Linked DNA regions of Alligator mississippiensis. The protein of the gene in region 1 interacts with the protein of each later gene in a pairwise test. Links are inferred from orthologs where the notes say so. Each region holds a gene or a part of one and is shown on either strand. Other genes may lie near its edges.

Region 1 (7,510 bases):
CTAATTGAGCTCGAAGTGAGAAAGGCTAAGTTAGGCCATGAGGATATAAAAGATGCCAGATAGAAGAGAAGGAGGTTGACAAAAATGCAAGACAAGACAGAGGCATAGGAGGAAGGGAGTGGAGAGGACAAATCAAAAAAAGCCTAAGAAAAGTAGGGACAGTAGTAAGAGATTATCTAACATAGTAGATAATTAAAAGAACTGAGTAGACAAGATGAGTGGCAGAGAAAAAAGATGATCCAGGAGGTATGAGATAGGAAAGAAGAGAGAGCCTGAGAGAGAGCAAGGGAGGATGAAGGGAGAGAGACAAAAAACGAGGTTTGGATGTGTAGGGATTGAGAAATGTGCTGTAATGGGTCTTGGGTCCTCCACGATCCACTGGCTGGAAAATTGGCTCCGGGGTCGGACCCAGAGGGTAGTAATTGATGGAAGTCACTCATCGTGGTGTCCTGTGACCAGTGGGGTCCCCCAGGGCTCTGTCCTTGGACCCATACTGTTCAACATCTTCATTAATGATGTGGACACTGGAGTCAGAAGCGGACTGGCCAAGTTCACCGATGACACCAAACTTTGGGGCAAAGCATCCACACCAGAAGACAGGCGGGTGATCCAGGCTGACCTGGACAGGCTCAGCAAGTGGGCGGACGAGAATCTGATGGTGTTCAACACTGATAAATGCAAGGTTCTCCACCTTGGGAAGAAAAACCCGCAGCATCCTTATAGGCTTGGCAGTGCTATGTTGGCTAGCACTATGGAAGAAAGAGACTTGGGGGTCATCATTGACCACAAGATGAACATGAGCCTGCAATGCGATGCTGCGGCTAGTAAAGCAACCAAAACGCTGGCTTGCATCCATAGATGCTTCTCAAGCAAATCCCAGGACGTCATTCGCTCCTCGTACTCGGCCTTAGTGAGGCCGCAGCTGGAGTACTGCGTCCAGTTTTGGGCTCCACAATTCAAAAAGGATATGGAGAAGCTTGAGAGAGTCCAGAGAAGAGCCACGCGCATGAGCAGAGGTCAGGGAAGCAGACCCTACGATGACAGGCTGAGAGCCCTGGGGCTCTTTAGCCTGGAAAAGCGCAGGCTCAGGGGTGATCTGATGGCCACCTATAAGTTTATCAGGGATGACCACCAGTATCTGGGGGAACGTTTGTTCACCAGAGCGCCCCAAGGGATGACGAGGTCGAATGGTCACAAACTACTACAAGACCATTTCAGGCTGGACATAAGGAAGAATTTCTTTGCTGTCCGAGCCCCCAAGGTCTGGAACAGCCTGCCACCGGAGGTGGTTCAAGCGCCTTCATTGAACACCAAGACGAAACTGGATGCTTATCTTGCTGGGATCCTGTGACCCCTGCTGACTTCCTGCCCTTTGGGCAGGGGGCTGAACTCGATGATCTTCCAAGGTCCCTTCCAGCCCTAATGCCTATGAAATCTATGAAATCTATGGCACAGCAGATCATGGCTGTCCAATTGGCAGCCCATGGCCCACTGCTGCCTGGCTGCTGCTTCTTCCATCCCTCCAGCTGCAATAGCAGTAAATTCTCTGTGCTCCCCTTTCTTCTTCCAGTTGCCAGAGCCATGGCAATTAACACTAGCACTGCTTCTCTGCTGCCAAGTTTCTGGACCCATGGGGAGCCCCATGGGCCAGATGATACAGCTCTATAAGCTGGATCTTGCCATGTGAAGAAATCCTCCTCAGTCTGTCTCACCTCTGTATTAGGACAGCCCAGGCCACTCTGTTTTTTCCTGTTTTGGTCAACCTGATCAACTGCCTAGTTTTGGTCAACCTAGTCACCTAGGTGCCTGGGCTGTAAAAATTCCTAGGGAGGGGGAAGCTCGCTCTTCCTTTGTCCTGAAGCGGGCATGTGGGGAAGAAGACAGGCAGTCATTCTGGGAACACAGACACAGAAGGATGTGCCTCCATGAGAGACAGACTCTCTGGAAGATTTGTAAGTAGAAATCTGGAATTTGGCTATTTAGAACTAAGTTTTCAGCTGTATGTTAAAAGGGCCACAAGCCCATATTTGAAAGGCTCAATTGATTCTGTTTTACTCAAGGCATTTTCTTTTAATATTCCTTTGTCCTGTACCCCTACCCCATTCTCTCCATCTGTGGTCAATAAAGCTATCTGTTACAGCTCACCTAGCTGTGTACTCTTGAGGGAAGAGGGGAGAGACAAGCCTTTTTGTTCTCTTTGCTCGGCTGAGCTGAGGGGAGTTTGGCTCTTTATTAACTAACACGGTCCTACCTGAGATTATCCTAGGAAGCTTCAGGCTATAAGGAGCACCCAGAGATATTACCAAGGGACCAAGCACCCCCAAAGCTGTCTTTATCTGTGTATCCCGGGCTGCAAAGAGCCTTAACAGAGACCAGTGCCCAGGTGGTGGCAGCGTTACCCCAGGCTTGTGGGTGTGCTCCAGGAAAGGGGATGGCCAGACATGGAGACTCCCAAAGCATGGTTTTGGGCCTGGCACAGTGAGGTGGGTGGCTTAGCATAGTAGCACCCCTTACTGTCCTGCCACAGCCCATAGGCCACTGAGCACCAGTGCTCTAAAGAGATAAACCAGACCAAGGGAGAGGGGCTCTTGGCTAGTGCGGGCTGATCTGCTGGAGCCTGCCCATGTGGGGCAGCCCTTGCAAGTGCAGCCGTACAGCTCTGTGCAGTCTGGTGTCCTGAGCCAACACTTGCGGTGTGGGTGCAAGCCAACTAAGCACTGTGACATCGCTCCCTCATACAGCACTGGCACGGTGTCACACGCCTGTTTCACAGAGCCATGCGTCTGCTGCCGGTGGCTCCCACGGAGTTCCCTGTGTAATCGAGCAAATCCGGGCTGAAGGAGATGAGGCTGCAGGACAGCAGGGGAAGGCGCGAAGGGGCCACGTGACAGGACAGCATGGGCAAGCCTAGAAATTTGCAAAGGGGAGCGTGGGCCGCCAAGCGCCTCATCCCCCGGGATCCGATTTAAAAAGAACCCCCAATTTTCGGTTAAAAAAAGGAACCCCAAATCCACATTTTTCCGTGATTTAAATGAAATAACAGATAGATAGATAGATAAACTATCTCTATCTATCTATCTATATCAGTGGTGTTTCATTTAAATCACGGAAAAATGTGAATTTGGGGTTCCTTTTTTTTACCCGAAAGTTGGGGATTATTTTTAAATCGGAGGAAACCAGGATCCCTGCTCCTCACATAACACAGCACAAGCTTTATGCAGCTAAAGAGACGCTGGAAGCGCTGGGCTCTGCCAGGGGCCTAGGGCCGGAGGGCTCCGTTTAAGATGCATGCAAGGCTTCATTGGGGTGAGGTAAAGCAAGCTGCGGGGCGGGAGATGGGAGCTGCGGAGCCGGAGAGCAGCTGAGGGGCAGCGGCAGGGCAGAGCGGCCCCTCAGCTGAGCCCGTCACCCGCAGCCAGACTACAACTCCCATCGGCCTCCGCGGCCGGGAGAGGCAGCTCCCGGAAGTGCCGCCCCACGAGGCCAGCGGATGCTGTGATTGGTTGGCGCCTCGGGAATCATATGACGAGGCAGCGGGAAGATGGCGGAGCCACTAGGCGCCGCGGCCGAGGACCCGTGGGGAAAAGTGAGTCTCGGGGGCTGGACGGTGGCCGGGATGGGACGAAAAGCGGGTGGGAGCTCGGGTGCTGGAGCGGGATCCCGCTGTCCCCGCTCCGGGCCCCCGCCACGAGGCGGCGCGGCCGGGCCCGGGGACCCGCAGGCAGGCGCCGCGGGGCCGCCTCAGCACGGGGGTTGAGGGTGCTGGAGACAGCGAGCCACCTCCCAGCCCTGGGGAGCGTCGTGCACGGCCGTCTGCCTAAACAGCAAATAATCATATAATCATATGAAGCAAATAACAGGGGGGAATTGTCGGCCAGTCATCTCGGGGCAGACACAACTGCCCAGTGCCCAGCCCCTCCCATTAGTCTCCGAGGGCATAAGTGTGCATCCCTGTCAAGACGGTACTGCAGGTTCCCAGAATAAACTGCAGTAAAACAAGGACGTGCCCAGTGTGCTGCCCAGCAGCACGGGCATAGCAAATTGCGCAGCAGCCTTGTTTGAGAGAGCAGCTGTTCTGCAGAGTGGGCTGTGGGGAGTCGACAGGCCATGGGCTACTTCTGTTGCTGACACACAGTAGCGTGATAGTTGATTGCGCAAAAGAGGAAACTGCCTTACTCACTGGCTGGCTTTTTTTCTCTTCTCTTCCCTTTTGCTTACACTGTCATCTGGCAACACAGCAGGTGGACTGTGTGTACAGCGACAATGGACTGGAGGCTCGTAAGTAGCTCTGTGCATTCCTCTTTCAAATATTGTCGGGTCAACTCTGCTGTTGCCAGACAAAAGAGCATAGATGAAACAGGCAGGGCACGCCAGTTTCCTGCATCATTTTAACGCTGGAAACTTAGCGCAAAGAATAATATGTGCGGAATGTAGGTTTTGTAAATATAAGCGGTGCATGGATTAAAACTTTAAAGGAGGGTTTAAATTAAGGGAAAGGGACGACTTGAACTTGTAAAGAATGATAAATGGATGTTTTTGTCTAGCTCTGGGACAGCGGTGCAAGCCAAAACGTGTAAGTAACAACTGGAACGTAGGGAGAAGGAAGCTTGAGATCTGCTGTCACTGCAGTTTGAGTGATCACACCCAGGCTGAGTGGTGCTGGGTGGGAAGTTATTTTTAAAACACGCAGTCTCTAATCTGATGATGCCTCGCCATATTCTCAGCTTTTTAAAGCAGAACTAATATCTCCCTTGTATCAGAGGCATGCAGAGTACGGGCCAGTTACCTGCTGAATAAGCTTCCCTGCTTCCGTGTTTTGTCCATGTTAAAGATTACAGTGAATCCCATTGGGGTTTAGCTGGTTCCTTCACAGCTCCTGAAAAATCTTTGCTGTCTACTTGTTGCTAAATCCACAAAACACCTACAACAGCAAACAGATACTAATTCTTATAGCTGGCTACCCTGTGCTTTACCCACCTGAGCTGAGCACCACACTGTATCCGTTTGGAACATCCCCTGGGATTTGAGATCCTTGCTCAGCTCACTGCTTCATGCATGACCAGTATTTTCTCTTCCAGCACTCTTTGTGGAAAGCAGTAGAAAGGGAAGCATAGTATCACGAGCGAACAGCATTGGCTCCACTAGTGCCTCCTCTGTCCCCAATACAGGTAAGGGCCATGGTGTCCCTTCTCCCTGTCTGTAGGTTAGTCCCTCCCTCAACTTGTCCAGCACTTAAGATGCTTTTGGTGCTCTTTCTCACTTATTTCTAACATGTGTTCTTCTCTGGCAAAAGCTGCTCACATGCAATCGCAGTAGCTTCCCTTGCCAGCTTGAGTATATATGTCTTTCATTCAGCAAAGGAGGATGGTGGGGAGCACCAGGAAGGTGTCGCAGTTTCCAACGAGACAGTTTGATAAGGCACTCCTGACTTGGGGCAAGGAGAAGAGTTAGTGTGAACAAATGGCCTGGCTAACGGAAATACCATCAAGAGAGTACTGAGCACCTGCCCTCTGAAAGAAAAAGACCTTGGACTCCAGCTTCCTGTTTTAATGCCCAAGAGATCTTCTCATGAGAATCCTGCCTACATTAGCCAGGGGCTTTGGCAAAAATGTGTTGCCCAGCTGCCTACTCACACCATGCTCTGGTGTAGGCAGCTGCCAGCAGGCCTGCAATGGCTCTGGGAGGTTCATCTTTGCCTTGTTTGTGCCCTGTTTGCAGCTTGTCTACCCAGTCAGTAATTGTGTCTGGGTCTGGACCAGAGTGCATAAAATGATTCCAGGAAGAGCATGCTCCCCCATTACCTCTGCACGTGCAGCTGCATGTCTGCCTCTGCTTCCTAGGCTCCAAAAGCGCCTGAGTTCTCTTTGACACAGTGACTCTTCTTCCGTTGCAGATGATGAAGACAGCGATTATCACCAAGAAGCCTATAAAGAGTCATACAAAGACCGGCGCAGGCGTGCACACACCCAGGCAGAGCAGAAGAGAAGGGATGCCATCAAGGTAACATCAGAGCAGCTATCAGACTGTTCTCTTGGATGGGAATACAGTTGGTCCTTTCCTTTTGTTACATACCTATAACGCGGGCATCCTGTGGTATCAGCATTCTTATTTCTCCCACATCAGGACACCCATATCCTTTTAGTTATCACAGTCACTGTGCCCCTAAACATTTGGCTTACTGGGGGCAGGTTATCAGCCCTGAGTAACTGCATCCTAGATGCCATATGAAGGAACTGGAGAGACAGCTGGGACTTTGGCACCTTATGAGACCACCTACTTGGCCACTGCCCTTCTGTCATGTGGTTTAATCTAAAAATGCCTGTAACATCATCTCTTCCTCTTGAACAGAAAGGCTACGATGACTTGCAGGCTATTGTGCCTACATGCCAGCAGCAAGATTTCTCCCTTGGCTCCCAGAAGCTGAGCAAAGCCATTGTCTTGCAGAAAAGTGAGTTGGGGGCAGAAAAGGGGCACATTCCTACCTAACCACTGCATCACTTTGCATCTATGCTGGGAATTCATGCTCCTGCAGCCACTGAGTGGGACACCAGCCATCCAGAACTAGACTGCAGTGAGGCAAGGGATGTCCCCACTTGCATTATTGTCCCCCACCCCCCATCTTTGGACTTTGAACTGCTGTTAGTGTTTTTCCCAGGACTTGCTCAGCATTCTGCTCCCTGCTGCTTCTCTCAGCTGGCTCTGCAGTTTAACTCTCCCAAGCTCTTGCTGATGTTCCAAAACACTTCTGCACAAATAACTTTGCAGCAAGGGGTTGAAATGTACAGCAGTATCAATTGTCATTTCGTCTGAGGCCAGTTGCCTCCCTCCCCAACATACCTCATTGTAGCTTAAGGGTATTTAAATCACTTGGGTTGAGGGAGGAGGTTGAACTAAGTGCCTAGAGCAGATTACCTCTTCGTCCACCTTGATCCCCAGGTGTTTGACAGAGCACACTGCTGCTCCCTCTTCTCTGGACCTGGGTCTCCCTCTGCAAAGTGAAGCGTTTTAGCAAATGCCTCTTTGAGACCAGAGAAGACTGGCTACTTGTCAGTTTGAATATGTAAGACCTACAGAGGTGACAGTGCAGTGGTTTAATCCTGACAGGGCTCTAGCATCTGTTCCTCCTGAAGAGAGACAGGATGCAGTGGCCTCTGGACTCTGCTTGCTTGAGTTTTCCTAAAGCCACTATCATCCCTTTGGTCTTTAGCCATTGACTATATTCAGTTCCTGCACAAGGAGAAGAAGAAACAGGAGGAGGAAGTTTCAACGCTCAGGAAAGATGTCATGGCCTTGAAGATCATGAAAGTGTAAGGAACTTTCCTCCCCCACCTTTGCCTCCCGGGCCCTGGAAGTTGGAGACACTGTCATGGACTCTTATAAATAGAGCCTGGCACCCTTTTCTTCTTGCATGTCCATCTTAGGGCTGGTTCTCGACAAGCTGAACTTGACAACAGATCGTAGTGGGAGGAGCATGACCTGAGCAAGGGACTCTTGACTCTGCTACTGGCCT
Region 2 (7,510 bases), on another chromosome or scaffold:
TTGATTCTGGTTTCAATGCACAGACAGTAACCTCACGGGGATCAGTCCAGAGGTTTTCCACACAAGAGAAAGGAGATGTCCACAGTGCCCTAGGGATCATTCTGCTGGCTCCTGGTATAACTAGAGGGAGGGGGGAGGTTGCTTCTCAAAGACCGATTTTGCCATTGCAGCCTCTGAGCCTGGGAGTGGATCTATGGACACTTTGGTAACGAGCTCCAAGTTATTTACTGCCGAGAAGCTGACTGTTCAAACCAAACTGTATTTAAAGAGAAGGCATTGCTCCAGGAAGGGGAACGGGTTTTCCCCGGGATCTCTGGAGCACGTACTGACAGCATTGCAGGGAGGCAGGTTTCCCCTGCTTTACCCGGGGCCGCTTGGGAGGCTGGGGCTGTGTCGTGCCAGGGCTGGCGGCTGTCTCAGCTGATGCACGACGCCGGGAGGGGCTGGACAGGGATGATCCCGCCTCCGTCCCTCCCTGCCCCACTTCTGTCGGACCGGGGCAGCGCAGTCTGCGCGGATCGCGCCGGTCCCGCTGCCCGGGAGGGGGGCGGAGGCGGAAAACGTGGCGATGCCGGACCTAGCCCAACCCCGGCGCCGCCTCCCTCGGGGCAGCAAGCACCCACGTGGGCGCGGCGCGGCCTCCAGCGTCCCTGCAGACCTGGCCCCGCTCTCCCCGGCCCACGTGCCCCGCTGCGGGAGCAGCCGGCGGCGAACAGGGAGCCCCGGGCGCCGGGCCCTTTAAAGGGGGCGCCGCGGGCGGCGGACGGAGCAGGGCGCCCATGTGGAGCTGCTCCATGCCGTGTTGTTCTCCCAGCCCATTGGCCCGCAGCCGGGTGACATATTTTAATAGGATGCAAACGCAGTGCGGGGGGAGGATCCGCTGCAAAACTCGGCGCCGGAGTCCGCTGTGCCCGGCTCGGAGGGTGGGAGCCCATCTCTACCCCTCCGCTGTCATCTCGCCGCTGCTCGGCACAGCCCAGCTGCCAGCTCCTAAAGAAGGTTGCCGGTCCTTGCCCTTCACAGCCCCCTCCCTCCTGCAGCCCTGCCCAGGGCGTTGTTGGGGCCCTGGGCAAGAGAGTCATTTGAGGCCCCTTAATGTTGATGACCTAAAAGCAAGTCGGACGTTTTCGATTTCATTTTCACTTCGCCCTAGCCATGAAACTGCAATGAAAGTATCTTAATACAATATTGATCAAACAAATATTCAGTGTAATTTATTTTTATAAAGTGTGGGGCCTCCTGCGGTTGCCTGGTTTGCCCCCTCCTAAGCCCACTACTGGCCTGCCCCTGTCAGGCGTTGGGCCCTGGGCATCGTGTAGCAGTCCAAAGCCCTGTCCAATGCCATGCAGACAAGACGCCCTACAAGTCTTGTAATTAGCTTCCCAGTGGCCAGCTTCCAGTGGCTGCACCCCTGCTTTATGGAAAGGATGCAGACAAATTGGAGAAAGTCCAGTGGAGGGCAGCAAAAATGGTTCAGGGGCTGGGGCACACAACTTCTGAGGAGAGGCTGAGGGAACTGGGTTTATTTAGTCTGCAGAAGAGAAGACTGAGGGGGGATTTGGTAGCAGCCTTCAACTCCCTGCCGGGGGGGATCCAAAGAGGATGGTGCTGGGCTGTTCTCAGTGGGGGCAGATGACAGAACAAGGAGCCTTGGGCTCAAGTTGCAGCAAGGGCAGTTGAGGTTGTATATTAGGAAAACCTTTCTTACTAGCGGGGTGGTGAACCACTGCAACAGGTTATCTAGAGAGGTGCTGGACTCTTCATCCTTGGAGGTTTTTAAGACCCAGCTAGACAAAGCCGTGGCTGGGATGATCTGGTTGGGGCTGGTCCTGCTTTGAGCAGGGGGTAGACTAGATGTGACCTTCTCAGATCCCTTCCCCACCATGACTAACAACAACAAATCCAGGTTGCAATAAAGCTTCCTAAAGACACAGAGTCTAGGCCATAATGGGTTGCAGGAGGGGTGAGATTTTTTTTCCTGGTTGCAATACATCTTGGTAGAGACATAGGGTCTAGGCCGGGGAATGGCAACATTTTTGGACAGAGTGCCAAGAACATCTGCAAACTGGGCTTACAAGATGTTGGTGTGCCAGGAACCACTGGTGGGGGAGCCACAAGGGGCCCGATCCTTATTGTGGCAGGGAGGTGGCCGGGGCTGTGCTGCCATCTGCCCTGAGGTGTGCGTGCCAAGCAAAATGCCTTTGTGACTGTGCCACACTCTGGCACCTGTGCCAGGGGTTGCCTACCCCTGGGCTAGGCCTAGCCATGAGACTTTGCAGGAGGAGTGAGATTTTTTCCCCCAGTCGCAATATATCTTGGTAAAGACACAGGATCTAGGCTTCTCCAGGATGGTTTAAAGGAGGGGTGACATTTTTTCCCCAGTTGCAATATATCAAACTAGCTGGGTACCTAGCTGGGGTCATTTGAGCTTTAACTTAGCAGGGGTCATAAGAGCCATGTATTCATTCCTGCCAGGGGCAGGGGGTCGGACTAGATGATCTGCTCAGGTCCCCTCCAACCCTACATCTATGAATCTATTTTGGTAAAGACACAGGGTCTAGGCCTAGCCAGGACAGTTTGCAAGAGGGGTGAGATCTTTTGTACATATTATTATGACTCTATTTCATGTTCCAGGTCGAATCAGTTCAAAATCATATGGCCTGAGCAGGTGAGATGCGCATCTCCCTGGAGCACCCACTAGTAAAACGAAATCCATAAAGCAGAGAGATTGAAGGAGTAAACCTGCCCTCCCCCCCCCCGCAGACACCTCGCCCGGAGTTAACTCCACCCCTGCACCCGGCGTGCACAGCCCCAGTCCGGCCAGCGGCGGGGATCCAGGCCGGGTTTCCCCCGTCGCCCGCCTGTAGTAGCCCAGGGCAGTGTCAGTCCTTTTTCCTTGTTGTGTTTCTGTTACTCATCGCCATCTTGTTGCAAACCCTTTTCTTGTCTGCAAGACTCGCCGGGGATTGGGCTGGGGGGGTGCTTTGCAGGGGCATTTTTGCACGGGGGGACAGACCAGGCGAAGGAACCCCCTCTATCCGAGCCTCCGGGATTGTGGCCCCTCCACCGCAAGGCAGCCCGAGAGATGAGCATTGAGACGCTGTTGGAAGCAGCCAGGTTTCTGGAATGGCAAGCCCAGCAACAACAGAAGACACGTGGTAAGGGGGGACAGCGCGGAAAACCGGGATCCGAGCTCTTTAAAGACACAGGACACCATTTCCCGCCGGCGGGGAAGCGACAGCGCCTTTCTCGGGGCCCGAGACCCGGCTGCGGGGCCGGGGCGTGCAGGGCGCCTCTTGCTTTTCGAGCTGATTTTGCAGCGGGGGGTGAAACCATCTTCCCCCCTTGAATAAAAGGAGGGTGGCAGGCAGGCAGGGGGCTCGGGCTTTTTTGCGGGGTGGGAGCGGAGCTCGGAGGAGGGAGGTGCTGACACATCCTTGCAAGGGCTCGGGGGAGCCTGGGGTTCCCGGAGATCCGCTCCCCTCCCTCCCCTCCCCCCGGGTCTAGCCCGGCTCGGCTCTGATCCCGGAGCCTGTCTCGCTCGCAGGCTGCAAACAGACTCTTTGATTAGTTTTTCTCTTTGCTTAAACGGTGCAAACAGTCGCATGCGAAAAGTAAGTAGCCATGGAAGCATGGGTTTGTTTTTTTTTCCCCTTTCTTTCCTGAAAACGGGTTTTTATCGTGAATGGGTTGGGAGACACGGGGTTTCAATGCGTCAAAAATGCACCCCCCCCCAAGCTGTTCTCCTGGCCGGCAGGCTCATGCCTGGGCTCGCATTTCCTGGTGGGGAGGATCTGCCTCCGCGGTCGTGGGCTTAGGGCGGTGGCAGGGCTCCAGCGGAGCGGGCTGAGGCTGCCTTTGCATAATGCAATGACACGGAGCGTCAGATGATACGCGGCAGTTCCTCCTCCCTCCCTCGTGTGTGATACATTGCACACGGCCTCCTCCCTCCCTTCCTCCCTCCCGCGTGCGTGTGTGTGTGTGTGCGCACATCCCCTCCCTTCCTGGAAACGTGCAGGGCCGGGGCGCCCGTGTCCCCGGGATCCCTCGTGGGCAGACGGGCCCGGCCCGCGGGCCGCCCCTCCCCCTTGGAATGTTGCGTGTCGCCGCGTTCCAAGCGCCTTAGTTCCAACCGGGGGCGGATGACGTGGCAGGCCCCGCCCCCTCCCACGTGCGCCGGGCCCCGCCCTCCGGGGCGCTGCGGGGCTGCTCCGCCGCTGCACTTTCGTTCTGGCCACGGGCGGGGGAGGAGGGAGGGGGGCTCCCGGCGGAGGTTTCCGCTCTCGGCTTGCCCATGGCAGCTACCCAGTCCTGCAGGGGCTGGGAGGAGGGAGCTGTTCTGGGCCGAAAGACTGAAAATCGAATAAAAAATAGGTCATCCAAGAATATTTGAATATTGCCCCCCCCCCATCTGCACTCCCCATGACTGTTTCATTCTTGCTTGCAGTTAACAAACATCCTGTTTCTTGCTCTCGCACATGCACACAGTTGTGGTGAAATCGATACTGTGTTAACCTCCATTATACTCCACGCTCTTTCGGGCTGATCCAGGGATTCCCGCTTGCTCCTAGGGAGGTTCCCTTTGTGTTTGGATGGGTTTTAAGGGCAGCTTTCAAATCATCTTCCTGGGACCGATAAAGAATTGATGCAGCGTGGGGGGTATTTCACTTTGCTTGTGCTTTGTGGGGGTGGTTTTGGCTGGGGAAATCTCATGCAAATAGCTTCCACCGTGAATCTACTTCAGAATAAAAAAAAAAGAACTCGCAGGGCCTTTCTGACCATTGTGAGAGCGAGGCAGGCCTGCGGAGGTTAAGCAATAGGGTAGGGAAACCCTGCTTCCAATGCATCACCTTTTCAGCAGCGTGGTCCAATCATCCTAATTACAGATAGCAAATACTGCTTGGCAGGGATGCCACCCTTTTCCTGTGTGCCCTCCCTATATTCTTTGTTGACCCTAATCCAATGCAGTTCACTCCTATAAGAACAAGGTTGACCTTTTCCAGAGGAAAAAAGGCAGTGTGTGTATGTGTGTGAGAGAGAGAGAGGAGCTGTGTGTGTGTGGGGGGGGGGGGTGAAGCATTAATACAGTGAATTTCACTGAATTTTAAAACCAGGTTCTTGAAAATTGTGCTATGCAGTCTCGTTTCTCCCATTTATGTGTGTATTTTTCTGTCTGTATGTTGTAAAGGGTGATGGAGCTGTAATGCAGCATTAGCTCAATGACACTGGTGTATACCTGCTGCAAAAGCAAGGATCTGTTCCCTTTGTGTGTCATTGCTGTGGGATGTAGCTGAAAATCTATTGTTTCACTGATGAGTCATGCAGGAGATAGTGGATGTTATGAAGAAGGGCAGCTTGGAGGGAATGGGTAGAAAAGCTTCCGGGATAACTAAGGAAGGAAACTATCCAGTGTAAGCCTACAGACTATCACAACACCCCCTCTTACACTGGGGCTAACATTGCTGAGGCCAAGCGTCACGCCTACACCCAGGAGCAGCACAGCTTTCAAAAATAAAAAAAGGGGTTCAGTTCATGCATCTGCTTCACAGTCTCCATGTTCAGACTTACTCCCTGGTTGGTGTGCATATTGTGGTGCCTCACTAACACACTCTGATCACCGTGTGCCAATAGAACAGGCTGGATGCATGAGGTGTGGTGTGAGGCTGTGCTGCTTATCATGCAATCATCCTCTTGGGTTGGGGGGGTGGGGTATTTTTTTTCAGGCCCCCAGAAATGAGCTAGGCACATCTTCAGAACAAAGATACAGCTCTTGCCACAGCCTGCAAGCTCTGTTCAGCGTGCCACAACAAGCAAAGATCACGTGCACAGGGCAGGGCAATGGTAGTAAGTCAGAAAAGGGGACAAGAGTGGCGCAGGTCAGTGAGGCTTTGAGTCATCTTGGCTGCTGGGCTTTTTTTAGAGACTTTGTGGCAGAAATGATTTCAAGGGAGAGGCTTGCGCAGGGTGGTATGATAGGAGGGCCAGGGAGGACTCCCCAAACAGGAGCACCAGGAAAGAAGCCTAATGGTGCTACTTTCCCACGCTGAACTCTTCTAGACAGGAGCTGCCTCTGCCATATTTGTACAGCACCCAGTGCACTGGGCCTCCAGGCCCTGTTGGGTGTTACCATCCTGTAATTCTTTACTGCTAGGGCTGCTGTAAGAGGAGGTAGCAAGGCTGGCATAACAGGCCATGTGGAGAGGGTTGGGGAGTGTCAGTGATAAAGGAAACCAGGTCAGAGAAATATGTAGTAACTAGTCTGGAATTAGACCTGAAAGAGAAGACCAGTCATTCAAACTGGATATGTGGGGCAAAGGGGAACCAAACAAGGGCGAGAGAGTGACCCGGCTAAAGGAATAGGTAAGAACAGCAAAATACACAAGATTTGTATGATTCTCTAAAAGAGATGCTATGGATCAAACGAATTAATTCAGGGGCATCCTGTGGCCTCTGTTATGCAGGGGGTCAGACTAGATCAGGGGTTCTCCATCTCATTAGATTAAAGGAGCCCCTTAGAACAGTGGTTTTCAACCTTTTTCATTTGTGGACCCCTAAAAAAGTTTGGAAGTGCGGACCCCTGTGGATTGTAAGTGTGGGTATTCACGTAATTTTGATTGATCATAGTCATCTTTCGCGGACCCGCTTAGACATATTCTTCAGACCCCCAGAGGTCCATGGACCACAGGTTGAAAACCACTGCCTTAGAAAATACCAGTTCTTATTTTTCACTGTTTTTGTTGACTGCAGAAAAAATACTAGACCAATTCTTCTGCTGCAGAGAATTCAGGAAGCCCACAACAGGCCAGAATGTTTTCAACACTTTGGATTCCTATTTGAAATCTCTGGGTTTATCTTGTTTGCACACTTGACAGTGCTAACTTTGTGTGTCATCCCACAGCACCCTTCAAAGAATTTCACAACAAGTTTGCATGCCACAGCATCCTATCACTGAACTAAATGATTGCAGTGGTGCATCCCCATCTTACACCCTGTGAATCAAATCTGTGGGACTGTGAAGAGTGTTTTCCAAAGCAGCTTGGGTTCTGAGATTGCTCTAGTAGAGATGCCATAGATTGTACAGCTGAGGGGTGGAGGGATAGTACAGTATGAATCTGCTTGGGAGGCCCTGCTGTGCGTGCAAGCTCTCAACCCAGGCCATGCCAATTTTCCCTTTCTTTTGCATAGCTAGAGAAGGAGAACCTTTTCTTCCCTGACTTATGCATCCACCTAGGGACTGCGTAGAGAGAAACCCTTCTTCCTGCATCCCTTTTGCCAGATCCATGTTTTTTGCCAGCCTATCACAGCTGTAATGTGGAGCTGTTCTCCTGATGGAGCTAGCAGAGTAAAGAGTATGCTTTGCTGCTCTGAGAGAGAGACCCAGACATTAATAAATGCCTAAGCTGCCTCTGTGATAAAGGTTCTCATTTTCTTGTTATTTGTGGAGTACCTAGCACAATGGGGCTGCCACCTGATTGGTCTCCACATCCGACCACCAAGTGGGAATTTAATC

What was found.
Region 2: the proteins of MLX (region 1) and MNT interact in a two-hybrid assay, tested with the Homo sapiens proteins (2 studies listed by BioGRID and IntAct). The link is inferred for Alligator mississippiensis from reciprocal best matches to the Homo sapiens genes MLX and MNT.

The regions. Positions count from the first base shown.
Region 1 is NC_081827.1:152,005,025-152,012,534, forward strand, and holds the start of MLX (max-like protein X), read left to right. Parts: upstream 1-3,494; 5' UTR 3,495-3,541; coding exon 3,542-3,586; intron 3,587-4,238; coding exon 4,239-4,278; intron 4,279-5,078; coding exon 5,079-5,168; intron 5,169-5,893; coding exon 5,894-6,000; intron 6,001-6,348; coding exon 6,349-6,448; intron 6,449-7,207; coding exon 7,208-7,307; intron 7,308-7,510. UniProt on the Homo sapiens protein: Transcription regulator. Forms a sequence-specific DNA-binding protein complex with MAD1, MAD4, MNT, WBSCR14 and MLXIP which recognizes the core sequence 5'-CACGTG-3'. The TCFL4-MAD1, TCFL4-MAD4, TCFL4-WBSCR14 complexes are transcriptional repressors.
Region 2 is NC_081837.1:7,590,583-7,598,092, reverse strand, and holds the start of MNT (max-binding protein MNT), read left to right. Parts: upstream 1-2,890; 5' UTR 2,891-3,085; coding exon 3,086-3,158; intron 3,159-7,510. UniProt on the Homo sapiens protein: Binds DNA as a heterodimer with MAX and represses transcription. Binds to the canonical E box sequence 5'-CACGTG-3' and, with higher affinity, to 5'-CACGCG-3'.